2 linked regions of the Astyanax mexicanus genome follow. Each later gene encodes a partner of the first gene's protein in a complex. Links are inferred from orthologs where the notes say so. Each region holds a gene or a part of one and is shown in the gene's direction. Other genes may lie near its edges.

What was found.
Region 2: the proteins of tgfb3 (region 1) and lrrc32 are in contact, whole or in part, in a cryo-EM structure (PDB 8VSB), measured with the Homo sapiens proteins. The link is inferred for Astyanax mexicanus from reciprocal best matches to the Homo sapiens genes TGFB3 and LRRC32. Residues at the interface, in NP_001316868.1 of Homo sapiens: Leu24, Ser25, Thr26, Cys27, Thr28, Leu30, Pro347, Pro349, Tyr350, Leu351, Arg352, Thr357, His358, Val361, Leu364, Leu368, Ser375; in NP_001122394.1 of Homo sapiens: Ala110, Ser135, Tyr137, Ser160, Val184, Met186, Asp187, Ile188, Asp190, Phe193, Leu202, Leu204, Arg206, Asn207, Ser208, Thr210, Cys211, Ile212, Ser213, Asp214, Phe215, Ser216, Leu217, Cys227, Asn228, Ser229, Lys254.

The regions. Positions count from the first base shown.
Region 1 is NC_064421.1:14,050,031-14,058,318, forward strand, and holds the start of tgfb3 (transforming growth factor beta-3 proprotein), read left to right. Parts: upstream 1-4,550; 5' UTR 4,551-5,057; coding exon 5,058-5,406; intron 5,407-8,288. Other genes in the region: intraflagellar transport protein 43 homolog, read right to left, coding at 471-515. UniProt on the Homo sapiens protein: Transforming growth factor beta-3 proprotein: Precursor of the Latency-associated peptide (LAP) and Transforming growth factor beta-3 (TGF-beta-3) chains, which constitute the regulatory and active subunit of TGF-beta-3, respectively.
Region 2 is NC_064427.1:35,631,562-35,639,829, forward strand, and holds the start of lrrc32 (transforming growth factor beta activator LRRC32), read left to right. Parts: upstream 1-4,613; 5' UTR 4,614-4,636; coding exon 4,637-4,689; intron 4,690-5,372; exon of another isoform or gene 5,373-5,483; intron 5,484-8,268.

The DNA.
Region 1 (8,288 bases):
TAGCCAGCGGAAAAAAAAATCCTTAAACTAACTAGCTAGGTTAACTAACCAAGCTAACGATATCAAGCTATCTAGCTAGCATTAGCTAGGTAAATCCATATACACGATTAGTGTTTTATTATTAATGCTTTATTAATAATTAACTGTATTTATAATTAGCCAGTAAACCTAGGCGTTAGACACTTAACTAGTTATCTAGGTTAACTAACCTAGGTTAACATGATAATTAATGTTTATGATACAGACTATCCTATCGCTTTTAGCTCATTTGCGGTAGTGCTGAACGCTGTGTGTGTTTCTGTGGTGATTTTCAGTGTTAGTTAGGTGAAGCCGCTCCACTAGCTTTAGCCTCCTGCTAAACATCCAGACACTAGTAGCGCAGCTACTGCCTCTGCGATCAGAAAACAGACGAGTAAACGCAGGATAAGTGTTTACACGCAGACGCTCCTTTTCCCGGTATTATAACTCACAGTCTTGGGGACCCCGTTCTCCCCCAGCTGCAGCGTATCCTCCATTTCTCCGTGTTTACAGGCTTTCCTGTATCCCTGTATCTCACGAGCTTCCCGTTACTCCGTACTTTCCACTTCCTGGACGCTGGACGCGTCACACAGCAACTGTAACCAAGGCGATGGAAACGGCGCGCTGTTTTGGATGAGGTGCTTGAGTAACATTCAATGTTTTCCTTAATTTCTTTATTTAATGTATTTTATACATTGTAGATTATTATTTACACCATATAAACAATTAAGAGACAAATATAGAATGAATAGCCAAATACTAAAAACACTTTTTTGGTATTTTGGACAAAATCATTTTTATTTATCATATTCATCTTATTTTTTACAGATATATATTGTGGACACCCCATGACATTAATGTTTTTATTTTTTTAAGAGACACACATGGAATGAGTCAAATACTGAAAACACCTTTTTGCTTTTTTTCAATCAATTAATTTTGGTATGCATATTTATCATTTTTATATGCATCCCTATTTCTAAAAAGAAAAAAAAAACACATTGGATGAGAAGAGGCATGTCTAAATGTACTTGTATGACTGGTGTATACAGTGTGTGTAGAGGGTTTAGATTATTGAGTGTTTTTACTTTTATATGTAAAAACATCCAATAATAAGCAGGGTTTTTTTTATTATTTTTGCCACTTTTCACAGTTGTATACATTGAATAGCATCAATGTATTTTTCTCTGAAAAAATAACAATTTAAATATATTTGTTAAACACTGATTTTTTAACATGGATACATATCAACAACGCACATTATTTATAGTTTGATATAAAATATATATTTTTACCAAAAAAAACCCCAAACTTTTTTGCTATTTTCAACTAAATAATTTTAGTGTGCAAAATATTTATACGTATCATATTTATTTGCATCCCTAATTCTAATGCTAGAATATATATATATATATATATATATATATATATATATATATATATATATATATATATATATATATATATATATATATATATATAGTGGACACTATGAAATTAATGTTTTTTAAGCACTTTAGGCTGTATTCACTGAACACTCACACAGTGCTTTTGTCACCGAGCCATCACAAATCATGTCAGCAATGTGCCAAAGTCTATAAGAACTTTTCTTGCCAGTTATTCCAACAAAAACAGAATAAACTACATAGATTTCAGATGAAACATTGAATCAGCAGGTGTTTTAATATTTTTGTTCCTATAGTTTACAGTACATGGTATGTTAGTTATATACAGTAGTTAGTTATACAGACTATGATACACTTTGCATACATTAATAAATATCAATCAATGTTTTGTTACAAGACTAATTTACTAATTTCAAGATCTCTATCCAACATATTGTTAGATGTCCACCACACACGTAAAGGCATTTCATGCCATGCCCCTGGGCTCCATGTCCTCGTGGTACGAGTATTCAATGAGAACTAATTTAGGTTCATGGCATCCGATGGAAGTACAGTGTTTATTTTTGCTAGTCAATGGATAGTTGGTCGAGTTCCAGCAATCTGGGGTCTTTTATTGTTTACTAGAATATGGCCGGTGGATGTTGATTTAAGGAACTTGGACCTCACCATATAAAGAAATGTTGATTTGCAGCCTCCTACAGCACGTCAACACTAGTCAGGCCTACTTCATGCTAGCTGCAGCATGTAATGAGCTATGTCTATCAGTGCTGTTCATTGTTATTAGGAGAGAATAAAGTGAAAAAGATAGAAAAAAAGGTGTTCATAGTTCACACATTACAGCCAGAGCCCAAAATAGTCACATTGTCACTGCCACAGAAAGGTACGTTGGCAATGTATAAATTTGAAAAAATTAATGATACACTTAATGTGCTTAAAGTGATGCTGGTAGATAGACGTCTCATGTACAGTATTCTCACAAATATGGTAAATGGCACACCTAATCCAGGTACTCAATCAGGTAATTACCAAGCACTCCCTAAGTTGAAGATGGTGTATTACAAGAGGAAACTACTAAAATGTACAGGGCAGGGAGTGATACACAGGCTTCATGTGTAGGCCAAGATTCATGGTTTATACACTGATCAGCCATAACATTAGTACATCACTGACAGGTGGCAGCTGTAAGAGCACCAGGTCATTAATGAGAGATTTCAGCAAGCTGCCACTGTTGGACCCCACTGCTCCTCAGGCATGTGGCATGTGTGCTCTCACAATATCACAGTGTGTATTTGGTCACTATATGAGCATGTTCACTACATTAAAGGCAGAGGCTACATTCTGTCTGTGTCCAACACAAGTATGGTGAATATGGATAGCTTGTCTTATATTAGGGGATCTTCATATATTCTGTGATGTGATGTCTTAAACACAGGAAAATGGACAAGCATAAGAACCTGAGTTATTTTGACCAAGAAAATTGTGATGGCTAGATAAGTGACTGGGTCAGAACATTTCCAAAACATCAATAATGCTCCTGGTGATCAGTACTTTCCAAAAGGAAGGACAGTTGGTGAACTGGCTGACAGGGGTCATGGGCACCCAGAGGTGGCTCTAGGATCAGAGTTGTGAGGGTGCTTGGCCAGACTCCTCCCCCTTTATAAAAAACAAAACAACAACAAAAAAACTGTGTACTTTTAATGATATTCAAATATAGTCTTAGGATTGTTTTCACTGGAGGGACGGGTGTGTCATATCAGTCGAATTAAAAAAATGAAGATTCAAATCAGACACACAAAATGCTTTGCACATTTTAAACATCTTTTCAGCAGAAAGAGGATAATAAAGCATTTTTACATATTTGTAATAAAACAATCCACTCATTGCTGCTTTCTTCATTATGTGGTTTAACTAGCTAAAAGCAGGAAGCTAATCACCACCATTCTGGATTTTTAGTGCGTCAGTACCAACATAATTTGTCCTTACCCTATCACTCGAACCTGCTCTTTTCTCTAAAAAACAATCCAATATCCATTCCTGACTTGCTGGCCATGCACCCACATACAGTGCGAGTTAGGAGTGGGCATCATTTATCTGCTATTCTTCTAAAACAGACAGAAAGACAGATATACTCATTTTTTACTCACAGTGGAAAATGGCTGATGGACAGCCTGCATCATTAGCTGCATATCGTCAGGAGAGACTGCTGTGTTTTTATTCTTAAAATTCTGTTTAATTATATATTTTCTAAGCTTTTACATGTTTGCTCAGCTTACCAGAGTCAACCCTCCATACAAAAAACACCCCATTTTTTTGTGATTCACATGATCCATTAAGGCCCCACCTCACATCATATAGAACTCTTTCAAGGATTCAAGGAGACTTTTTTGTTTTGCATCACATGTGGTACATGAGGTGGAACGAAATTGTAATCTTACAATCCAGTTACACCCAAGAGCAACTGTTATGTAGATCAAATAAAATAAAATAATAATAATATAAAACATAATATGATTCAAATAGATAACAGGATAGAACACATGATATAAAAAGGAGAGTAGGGAAGTAGGGAAACAGCAGCAACATGTCAGTGTTGTTTTAAATATGTAATTAATAAATTCAAAGGCTCATGAGGATCTGTAGTTGTGACTTGAAATATACCCACTGAATATTACACAGGTGGTTCTAATAATGTTATGGCTGATCAGTGTATACTAAAATACATTATTATCAGATATGAAGAAAAGCTCTATGCTGCATGTTCTCTTAGATATTATCCACTAGGGGGAGCGCATGCATGCAAAAAAGGTGGTTGAGTGAGTATGCGTGCGTGCATGTGCGCTTATGTTTGTGTGCGTGCACGCGCACGAGACAGATAGAAAAAGAGGGAGAGAGAAAAAGAGAGAGAGAGAGAGAGAAAGAGACATAAAGTGGTAAATAATAAATATATAGGCTATTTCTTATCTATTTCTTCAGAATAACTCTGTTGGAAGCTGTTTTCTGACTGAACTCCTGCAGTAATAAACGTGCAGTTGCCTCTTCTCACTCAGGCAATGGGTGAGAAGCTGCACCCCTTTTGCCCCTCCTCCCGTCCCGGGACGTCACGGGCCCCGTCCCTATAAAGGTCCGCGAGAGCCCCAGAGCTCATCTGAAGCGAGGAGTCCAGCACAGCAGCTGCGTGAAGGGAATAATATGCTGGTGGGACAGCAAGGCTTTGAGAAACTGAGCTCTTTAGGCTAGCACTCTTCCATGCTTTAGCTATGTTATGGAATTCTATTGGGATGCATTTTTGGAGTGCAGTGCATGGCTGCTCTGCTTAAGTTTACAGGATGGGGCAAACTCCCTCACCACTTGAACTCCAAGCAACTGAGAGGATAATCTGGAATTTACTCTCATAGATTTTTTTTTGAGTCTGTATATTATTTTATTTTAGATTTTTTCCCCTAGTATTTAAGTTCTTTTTTTCTATTTAGTCTCAACTAGCTCCAGCTCACCTTACGTGAACTGGACCTCTTGGTAACTTTGGTACTTAGACTCACAGTGAGGACACTCATAGACATACACACACACACACACATATAAACACACTTACACACTCACTCATACACACACACACACACACACACACACATCACCATGCAGCTGGGCAGAGCACTTTTGTTTTTCCTCCTCCTCCTAAACAGCATGACCATGATTTTCTCGCTGTCTACTTGCACCACTGTGGACATTGACCACATCAAGAAGAAGCGGGTGGAGGCCATCCGGGGACAGATTTTGAGCAAATTGAGACTGACGAGTCCACCGCAAGCCCTGGGTCCCAATCAGGTCCCGTACCAGGTGTTGGCCCTCTATAACAGCACCAGAGAGCTGATAGAGGAGCTGGGCAGGGACCGGCAGCAAAGCTGTGGCCAGGATAACACTGAGACCGAGTACTATGCCAAAGAGATTCACAAGTTCAACATGATCCTAGGAACACCTGAAAACAGTAAGTAGGCCTGAATAGCACTGCATTCAACAGCTTCATTGTTCTCGCATTTTATAAAAAGAGATTGTATTACCCTGTTCAGTTTCTGTATAGGTCAGTAATGGTCTGTGATCTGATCTTGCTTAGCAATACCTAGAGGAATATTGTATTTTATGCCTAGAACACATAGGCCATAAATTGTGAGCTTAATGTTTGTCACTGGACGGATCATCGCAGCTGGAAACCCATCACCCCATCACCCCAGCTCACAGAGCAATACTGTAATATAGACTGTGGTATTTTGCCACAGAAACCAATATGCTCTAAGGAATGGTCTTCAAATAATGCTTCAGTCTGGTATGTCTGGAAAAATCATTTGTAGTCTGTTTCTACTTTAATAATAAAACCTTTAGGATGTTCCTCTGACTGTTAAGTGAAGACCTTTAAAGTTCAGGAGGCAGCCAATCATTTGCTGTAAAAACAGCAAACAGAGGTCATGTCTTGTTTAGATCAATTCAGTTAATTTCACATGATCACCTGAAACTCAATGGAAAATACCTCAGTGGATTTTTCCATGAATTACCATGAAAGTTCCCACAGGCCCTAGAATTCCGGGGTCATCTCTTGATCTAATTGACCGTGTGTCGCTAAATGGAGTAGAAATGTTTGAGATAAGTTGAGATAAAGTTAGAAAAGCCTGAAAGCTCAGGGCATTCTGATGTCTGATGACTCTCTCCACTGGTTCACTCCATCTTTAGAAGAGCATTAAGGCGCTGAGCTCTGTACTGTCCTCAGCTGCGAGTACTGGAGCAGTATGGGAGCTCGCCAGTGCTTTCCCACTGAGCTAACGACCAGACTGTCTCAGGCAGCCTCACAGCCTTTCCAATGGAACCATTTTAACGAGGCTTGCTTATACTGTCCACGGAACAAGTCGTCAGTGATATTTTCCCCCCACTGTCAGACGCCATAACTGCGGTTTATGTACATAATTGTCCGTTTACTCTTTGTCTGGATCTGTGTGTGTGTGTTAATATCGCTAATGATTTATAGCAGCCTTTTTTTCAACGTGCTTCACAGGGTTGTAGTTTAAAGTGATGATTCTGAGTGGAGCCCATGTATTCTCTTGTCATCTTGTCATCTACATCCTGTCTTGATTGATAATAGACCTTTAACGACGGCCAGCTAGCCCATCTATGGTTGCGTCCTCCATCGCAGTGAAGTCTCAGGAGAAAGTGAGAAAATTTTGGAAAGTGAGAAGAATTGGACTTGGGCCTGTTCAGTGATGGAAGCAGGTCATTGCATCATGCATCAAGTGTTTTTTCAAATCAACAGGTGTTTTATGCTACAGAGACACTGAACAGACCGTCCTCTGGCTCCCAAACAAGCTCCAGTGCCAAATGTGGATTTCGGGTCAACTAAAGTGCTTCTGACACTTAAAATATACACTCCCTCAGCTACTTTAGCTGCCATACTGAAAAATATAGCTTATGGCTGCCTGGCCATTTCAAGACCACTGGCCTGTTGGGGTGATCTTCAGGTTATCAAGCGACTACCCACTGACCCTTCCTTTTCCAACAGATGCACACACAAGTCACTGGAGGAAAGGAACAGAGTCAGGCCCTCATCAGTAATAGTTTCCAGAGTTGAATAATTATGTTTATTTCTAATTTCCATTGTGCAATTTGACCATTAAGCAGGCCTGTTTGGCTACACTGTGGTTGATGTCACTATGGAGAAACAGGAATGTACTGTACAGTATATTCCCAGTCCGCTCAGACCAATTGAACTATGAACTTAGGCTTGGATTGCGTTTAGGATATATATGGAATCACTGCCAAAACGTCATGGGAAAGGAACTAGTATAGTGTCCAATGACTTTTGCCAAGTCCCATTGGAAACTAAAGAATGTGCAACTGACCTATGAGATGGGTGTGTGGGGCATCCTGCATTGAATATGGATGGGATTTCCGATTTATCCGATTTATCTGATTGATCTGATTTATGACAGAGTCTCTTGCTTGTCTGTTTGCATGGACATTTCTAGGCAGATTCCACTGGACACCATTATTACCACCCACTGCTCTGCTCTAAAGCCTTCTTCAGTGACGCATTTTTGGTACACATGTATGTGCTACTGTGGATCAAGGAATGTTAAATGCTCACACAACTTCGGAAAACTTTGAAAAACTTTGGAAAACTCTGCAAAAGAAATGTCACATCCATCTGGTATCTACCATCAGGTCTTGCTCTAACTCTGATATGTGCCCACTCTGATATGAACACTGTGCTGTTGGTCTGTGTTCAAATCTCACTCACAAGATAACACCTCACATATAGCACGTATATCTATATAGTTGTGTCAGTTGTTCTCAAGCCATTCCCAGAGGTAACACTTTATGTTAGGGTTAGTTTTCCTTCTTATAACTTTTGATAAATCAGTGTATAAAAAGGAGTAGTGTATCTTAAAAAAATAAGATATTTTAGAGACTTTAGAGACTTCACACTTCTCAAGATTCCAGCTCCTTTGTTTGTCTCCTAAAATAGCCAAGCAGAGTAATATCACTTGAAACATTTTTGAGATACCAGGTTTGTTTGCCCATGGAGTCTGGCCTGAATCGGGTGGGAAATATGGAGCGTTAGAGCTTTCTCAGTTCCACACCTGCATTCCATATGCTCTGCTGTGCTAGCATTGCTTCAGCGAGCTGACTTTTGACCTCTGTGGTACACATGTCAACAGAGACCAAGCCAGACGTTGTGACAGAATGCTGCTGGTATACTAACTACCAGTATACAAAGAGAAGTCAAGAAGTTCCTAGGCTTGTGTTCAGACTGCAGGCAAATCTGGATTTGTTTCACAAATCAGACACTATTATTATTAATTTTTTTAAAGTGATCAGATCATA
Region 2 (8,268 bases), on another chromosome or scaffold:
ATGCATAAAGACAGGACAGTGCAGTACCGATACGGTATAATAAAGAGTATAGTGGGGATAAGGTGCAGAGATGTGTGACATACTGTAACATATAGAACATATATAATCACAGCAGTTACTGAGGTAGAGAGTTTATAGTTTTTAAGAGTGCAGCAAATAAAGTCATGTCAGCCTCTGTGTGCTGACTGGGTGTGTGTGTGGGTGAAGTTCAGTTCTTGTGAGTGTAAAGGGGGGAGGGGTGTACAGTTTAGTTTTGTGTGAGTGTGTTGGGTGAGTGGTGGGTGGGGTGGGGGTTCAGTTCTGTCTCTGTGCGTTGAGAAGTCTGACTGCCTGGTGGATGAAGCTGTTGCAGAGTCTAGTAGTGGAGGCTCGGATGCTCCTGTATCTTCTGCCGGACGGCATCAGACCGAAGAGTCCGTGTGAGGGATGGGTGGGGTCGTCCACAATGCTGGTGGCTTTGCGGATGCAGCGTGTGGTGTAGATCTCAGTGATGGAGGGAAGAGAGACTCCGATGATTTTCTCAGCTGTCCGCACTATCCGCTGTAGGGTCTTGCGGTCTGAGGTGTTGCAATTCCCAAACCAGACGGTAATGCAGGTGCTCAGGATGCTTTCTACAGTCCCTCTGTAGAACATGGTGAGGATGGGGGGTGGGAGATGTGCTTTCCTCAGTCTCCGCAGGAAGTAGAGGCGCTGCTGGGCTTTCTTGGTTATGGAGCTGGTGTTGAGGGACCAGGTGAGGTTCTCTGCAATGTGAACACCGAGGAACTTGGTGTTATCCACAATTTCCACAGCAGAGCCGTTGATGTTCAGCGGGTGGTGGACACCTGGAGCTCTCCTGAAGTCAACAACCATCTCCTTGGTTTTATCCACGTTAAGAGATAGGTTGTTGGTTCTGTTATCTGTTATTCTAGTTATCTGCTTATTAAACACTTACTTATAAAACACACACCACAGGACAACCACTTCACCCAGACTCTCACTAATAACATAATGATTGCTAATCTACTGGCTCTCTTGCTCTTCTTGTGACTGTATTATGCTAAACCAACCAATGATAATGTATCTAAATGTCGGTCACATTCAAAGTTACATTTGTTTAACTATCTATTCTATAGAAGATTCTTACTTTGCAAAATAGAAAAGTAAATAATCTTGCAGTACCTCTGCAGCCCACTGGGGAGCCCCATCTTCAAAAGGTTAAAAAACATTGTTCTTATCTATAGATCAATGAGTTTTTCTTTCTTTCTGACTATTGAATTCTGGATGGATTTTAAATATATTAATATTATTTTTTTGCAGTACACTTTCTTAAATGCCTATGAATTCTCTGCCGCTTCTTATGTTCTTTTGTTTTCCAACATTAAAAAATATAAGGGTTGTAACTATTCCAAATTAAACTTTCAAATGTTTTATCTTTTTTCAACTCTACTTACACATGTATTTAACTATTCAAAACATACACTGGTCAAACACAGGCAGCTTTACTTAATTTTTTACAAGGGTTCTAAATCGAAGATGGTAATTTTTTTCTTAGTCCTGTTACCAAAACTCGTGTGACAAAGCTTTTTTCTCAGGAAAGTCTTTATTATAAAGAAATGTTTAATGAATGGTTGTATTTTTCTAAAAGATGCAGGCCGACATTTTTAAGAAGAAAAAAACTAAAATTGTTAAAATTTATTATCATGCAATTGAATTAAACAAATGGATACGTAATGAACCAAACAGAATTGGAAAAAAGTGCTTTACACTAACTAATATTCACATTCAATTAATAAACCAGGGGACAATTCTCATTCCTGTTACTGGAACTCACATTACTGGCACTCTCTCCTGTTACTGTAACTCACTCCTGTTACTGACACTCATTTCTGTAACTGGCACTCAGTCCTGTTATTGGAACCCACTCCTTTTACTCTTTATGATATAAATAACAGGACTGAATGTAACAGGACTGTGTTTTTAGCATAGAATTAGTAAAAACATGAAAAATAGCTAAATGGTGGCTATACTAAAAAGATGAGGAAACTGGACACATTCTAATGATTTTCCCAAAATGTGTATTTTAAAAATAAACAAATAAGATCTGAGAATTAATTTAGGTAACAGGAATGAGTGCTGAGATTGACCTCATCAGTACTATAAGATCAAATATACAGAAAAACAAATGAGGGAACTTAATTTTAGTCTTCCTGGGATCTTCAGAAGAACCAGCTGATGTCACTTCCTGTTTTAGATGTGCCAAATTTTTAGATGGGGTAATGTGTTATGGTAAAATGACTGAGTGATAGGGACACAACTAAAATGTTACATTACAATTACAGTTTAAAATTTTAATTTAATGTTAATTTAAAATTTAATGATAAAGTTTATAGTTGGAGAGTGGGGACTGGTAACAAATGCTATTTTTTCAGTGTTCTAAGAAGTTTTTATTACGATATGTTTTAATAACATTATACTTTTGCAATTAGGTCAATGTACAAGACACTATGCTTAATAATAAAATGTCTTTTATAGTTATTTTGTTTGCATATTTATACGTGTAATTTCCTGGGGACAGAAATGGCACTGATTTAGTGGAATATGCCATAAATAACCTGACTAAGCCTTTATTAAAACTCAGTAAATAAATGCTGCAATATGTTGCATGCTGTCATTATTTTAAAATAATATAATAAAGTTATTAATGTGGTTTCAGATAGGAAACGATGGGCATAATCACTGATTGCAAAAAGAAATACACATAAACAAAACAGTGGATAATAAATGTGAAAAGTTATTACAGTGATAGAGACTTTGTGTCTTTGGAGAACCTTAATTTTTCTTTAAATTAGTGTTTCTAAAACCTGGTCCAGGTAATAATAGGCTGTTATACAGCTGATTGGTTGGAACAGTTCAGTTGGGAGCAGAAAAGCTTTAAAAAGGCAAAGTTGGGAAACACAGGTCCACAGCACCACTAGAGGGAGCTGCTCACTCTTCTGTGTGTGTCACATGTGCCTTCAAGTACAACAACAACAACAACAACAACAACAACAACAACAATAATAATAATAATAATAATAATAATAATAATAATAATAATAATATATTTTATTTAAATGCTTTTTTAATACTGCTTTAAATTACAAAATAGCTACTAGCAGTACATCTTCACTATTTACATTTTCACATCTTCTGTTGCAAAAATAAGACAAACCTTGTTTTGGCACAAAAAACACTATAGTGCTATTCTATTCTATTGTATTCTATTCTATTCTATTCTATTCTAATAACAGTATTTGCAATAATAATGATAACAGTTTTGGCGTAACAAACAAAGCTCTATTCTATTATATTTTATTCTAATAACAATAGTTGTAATTAGAATAACTTTGTTTGGGCATAGCAACAAATTAAGCTATATTCTATTCTATTCTGATAACAATAAATGTAATTGTAATAAAATAATAAAAACCTTGTTTTGGCATAACAATCAATAACGGAATATTCTTTTCTGTTCTATTCTATTCTGTTCTATTCTATTCTATTCACAGTAATAGTAATAATGATAACCTTGTTTTTCAAACAATAAATCTCTATTCTATTCACAATAATAGTGATAATAATATTTTGTTGAATTTATTTTTAACTGAACAATCGTACAATATAACAGTACTAAATTCTTGTTATTGTTTTTTATTTAGTTAGTTAGTTTCTTATTTAATATTATTATTTAATATAATAATAATAATAATAATAATAATAATTATTATTATTATTATTATTATTATTATTATTATTGTTATTATATAAACACACACACATATACAAGTGCATTTAAAAAAAATAGAATATCACTGAAAAGTTACTTTATTTCAGTAATTCAGTTTAAAATGTGAAACTCATATATTATATAGATGTATTACACACAGAGTGATCTATTATGAGTGATTGATTATGGCTTACAGCTATTGAAAATCCAAAAATCAGTGTCTCAGAAAATCTGAATATTATACAAGACCAACTAGTACTTTTGGCAGAGTGGGCAGTGTGCCAAATCCTGCTGGAAAATGAAATCTTCACAAAAGTTGACAGCAGAGGGAAGCATGAAGTGCTGTAAGATTTTCCGGGAAAACACTGCACTGACTGTGGAATTGATATAACACTAATTCTTGGGTTTTCATTGGCTGAAAACCATAATCATCAACAATAAATTAAATAGACGCTTAAAATATACCACTCTGTGTGTAATACATCTATATGATATGAGTTTCACATTTTGAACTGAATTCAAGTTTAAGTTTAGGATTATGATATTGGTTTTCATCACTGTTTTTTTGTTGTTGTTGATAGCAGTGTGTAAATCGAGTAGCCACTCCCATTGAACTCAATCATTTGTGCTGGGATTTCTTATCTGGTGCAAATCAGTCAAAATTGTTCCTGATGTTCCTGTAGTGAGATTACATCACTCCACCTCTCCAGGTAAAGCTAATCCTGTCTGAATAGGGCTATGTGGAGAAAATAAAAGCAAAAGGAAGGGAGTGAGTGAATGGAGGTGGAGGAGGGGAATCCCTACTAGGAGACTGATATATACCTGACCATCACTCAGCTTGCTCCAGTTCTTGACTGCACTGATACTTAACAGTCTGCTGACCATTTTATGTATGCAATGAAGGGCCATCTGTGGAGGAAGAGCCAATCAGCACACAGTAAGTATGTTTGATTTGTTTTATATATATAGATTTTCTGGTACCACTTAAATGAGACTACCTTTGTAAAGGATTAATAAATGGTTTACAATTAGTTTATTAATGGTTACTAATTAGGTTGTAAATGCCTTAAAATCATTAATAATTAGTTATGTGGCTGTGGGTTCACTATTTGGCAAACAACAAGTCTATGTACATTTCTACGTATGTGTTATAACTGATTATTAATGATTTTTAAGGCTTTTACAACCTAATTAGTAACCATTAATAAACTAAACCATTTATAAACCCTTTATAAAGGTAGTCTTATTTTAAAGTGGTACCGATTTTCTACCTATATGTTCTGTATGTTTTAAGGGATGTGGCATGGAATGCAGTGTTGGGAAACACCCTGGATACCAGTGTTTAAACTGAGGCCACTGAGGCCAGCTGCACTTTCTCATGAGAGAGAGAGAGAGAGAGAGAGAGAGAGGAGGCAGAGCAAGACAGTTAGAGGGAAAGAAGGAGAGAGAAGAGAAGAGAGAGTGCTCCCCATTTCCATATAAGGTACGAGCAAAAGTAGGAAAGTGGGGAGAACAACAATAATGCCGGCAGGATATTCTCACAGGATATGTATCAGGCTGGGAGTGAAAGAGAGAGAGAGGGAGGGAGGGACAGAGGGAGATGGAGAAGAGAGAGAGAGAGGGGAGGAGGAGAAGAGGGTAGGCTGTATTGTATCAGTAGAGCTGGACGGGGCTGCTGGCAGCATGACTGACTCTCTGTGCAGGAGATAGCAGGACTGGCACTTTCACTAGTACGGTAAGACTCACTCCTCTCTCACTGCTGTATCAGGATATGACTCTCTCTCTCTCTCTCTCTCTCTCTTTGAGAGACAGCCTATGAATTCTTACTCCTTTTCAAGAGAAGCGCTACAGACAGTGGTGGACTGACACAGGGGCAAAAAACAAAAAAGGGCACCTACTGCATGACATGGGACCCTGTCAACAAGAAGGGTGTTTCTTTTTTGCCACTTTAGAGAGCACTATAGTGATGTTTTTTTAACAATGTATATTTTTTTTTTACAATGGGCGCACTGGGAGGCAGTTGGGGTGGCTTAAGGGGGTTCTTTAGTAAAGCGATATGCCAGAGTTGCTTTGACAGTTCATTATGATTTAGGAAACCCTTTTTTATACAGAGTATGGCATTAATTAGCTCTTGGAACAGCCTTAAAATGCTTGTTGATGTTGGAAAAATTATTTTAAGATTCTGGTCCATGCTGACATAATTGCATCACAAAATTCTCTAGATTTTTCAAAGTTTACTTTCATGCTGTAAATCTTCCATTCTGACAAATCCCAACGCTTCTCTATTGGATTCAGTTCTGGCACTGGGAAGGCCACTGAAATAACTTTGGCTTGGCTTTGACATGGTGCATTATTATGTTGAAATGTTGAAAGTAAAATGAAAGTAGATTAGAAGGGTAAATTGCAATCATAAAGGGATGGATGCACTCCTCAAGGCAGGTTGGATCCATTGATTCAAGCAGTTGCCACCAAACTTCAACCGGCCATTTGTTTGCATCAAGATTCATCAAGATTCATCAAATCAGACGAAGTTTCTCCAGTATTCACCTGTTCAGTTCTGGTAATCTTGTGCCCACTGCAACCTCAGCTTTCTGTTCTTGAGTGAAAGAAGTGGAAGTTGACATGGTTTTGTGCACATGTAGCTTAACAGCCCTAAGGTTCAACATGTAATGAGAGACTTTTCTGGTCCCCTCAATTGTAAAGAGTGGTTAAATAAGTTACTGTACCCTTTCTATAAACCCAAACCTTTAAAATTAAGAGACCACTTAAGTTTCTGAATCAGTTTCTCTGATTTTGCTATTTATAGGTTTATGTTTGAGTAAAATAAACATTTCTGTTTTATTCTATAAACTACAGACAACATTTCTCCCAAACTCCAAATAAAAATATTGTCATTTAGAGCATTTATTTGCAGAAAATTAGAAATGGCTGAAACAACAAAAAAGATGCAGAGCTTTCAGACCTCAAATGTAAAAAAAACAAGTTCATATTCAATATTTGGTGGAATAACCCTGATTTTTAATTACAGTTTTCATGCATCTTGGCATGTTCTCCTCCACCAGTCTTACACACTGCTTTTGGATAACTTTATGCCACTCCTAGTCTAAACATTCAAGCAGTTCAGTTTGGTTTGATGGCTTGTGATCATCCATCTTCCTCTTGATTATATTCCAGAGGTTTTCATTTTGGTAAAATCAAGTGGTCTATTTTCCTTTTTTTTCAGAGCTGTAGATCCAAAATGATGACTTTTTAACTTTGAATAAAAGTGTTTGAATGGATGTAAAATAAGCTTTTTTCTAATTTTAGAGCATTTCTATTGGTCAATTCTTTCACAATTATTTACAGAATGTACAGAGCATCTACGATGTTAAAGCAATGGAGAAAACCAAAAACTGTCAAAGTGGAGATTTACTCAACAGTTATGCAGCAGCAGTTTAATGCATGCTGATACTGTAGTATTTAGTAACTACTATGCAGTATCTGCTATGAAACTAATATTGAATTTGTTGAACTGACTCTATTTAAGGAGGAAGACATACAAACCTGTGTTTATATTACAGTTTAAAAATGATACTATATAGCGCTCAAAATGGCTTTTAACAAATCATTTTCTGCAAAGTGTGCAAAATGAGTAATGGGACACCGGCTGAGTGACGCAGTTTTGTCTGAGGATGTGAAGAAACAGTTCAGAGAAATGAAATCAAAGAGTCACATAAGCCTCTCCTTCTGGGGTCACTTTGTGGCCACTTGCCTTTTATTATCCTCTTTATTATCCTACCTTCACCCTGTTCTTCAATGGTCAGGATCACCCAGAGGACCTCCAAAAAGGTAGAGCAGGTATTATTTGGGTGGTGGGTCATTCTCAGCACTGCAGTGACACTGACACGGTGGTGGTGGTGTGTTAGTATTGTGTGTTGTGATGGTAAGAGTAGGTCAGACGCAGTCACGCAGCAGTGCTGCTTGAGTTTTTGAACTCTATAAGACATTCTTACTAGTTGGACCACCTTGTAGATTCAAAGCCAAAAGTTGGCGTTGATCATTCTTTAGTCCTTTATCAGTGGTCACTAGATGCTACCCACAGAAGAGTTCTTCTCACTGTTGGCTGGAAATTCCTGGTTGGGGGTCTGGTCTGGTTGGTGGACTATTTTAAGCCCATCAGAGAAACTGACGTGTTTAAAAACTCCAGCAGCACTGCACAATACACACTACTAACACAACACCACCATCACCATGTGAGTGCTATACTGCAGAATAACCCACCACACAAATAACACCTGCTCTATTGTGGTCCTATGGGGTCCTGACCATTAAAGAAAAGGGTGAAAAGAGGTTACTAAAGTATGCAGAGAAACAGATACAGGACTACAGTCTATACTTACAGAACTACAAAGTGCTTGATATGACTGTGTGTTTATAAATTGGCTATGAAGGCTATGAAGGCTATGAAGGCTATGACTAATCCTTCAGATTTTTGCTATTGTCTGACACGTGGGTGCTTCCTCTGACGTCATACAGTATAT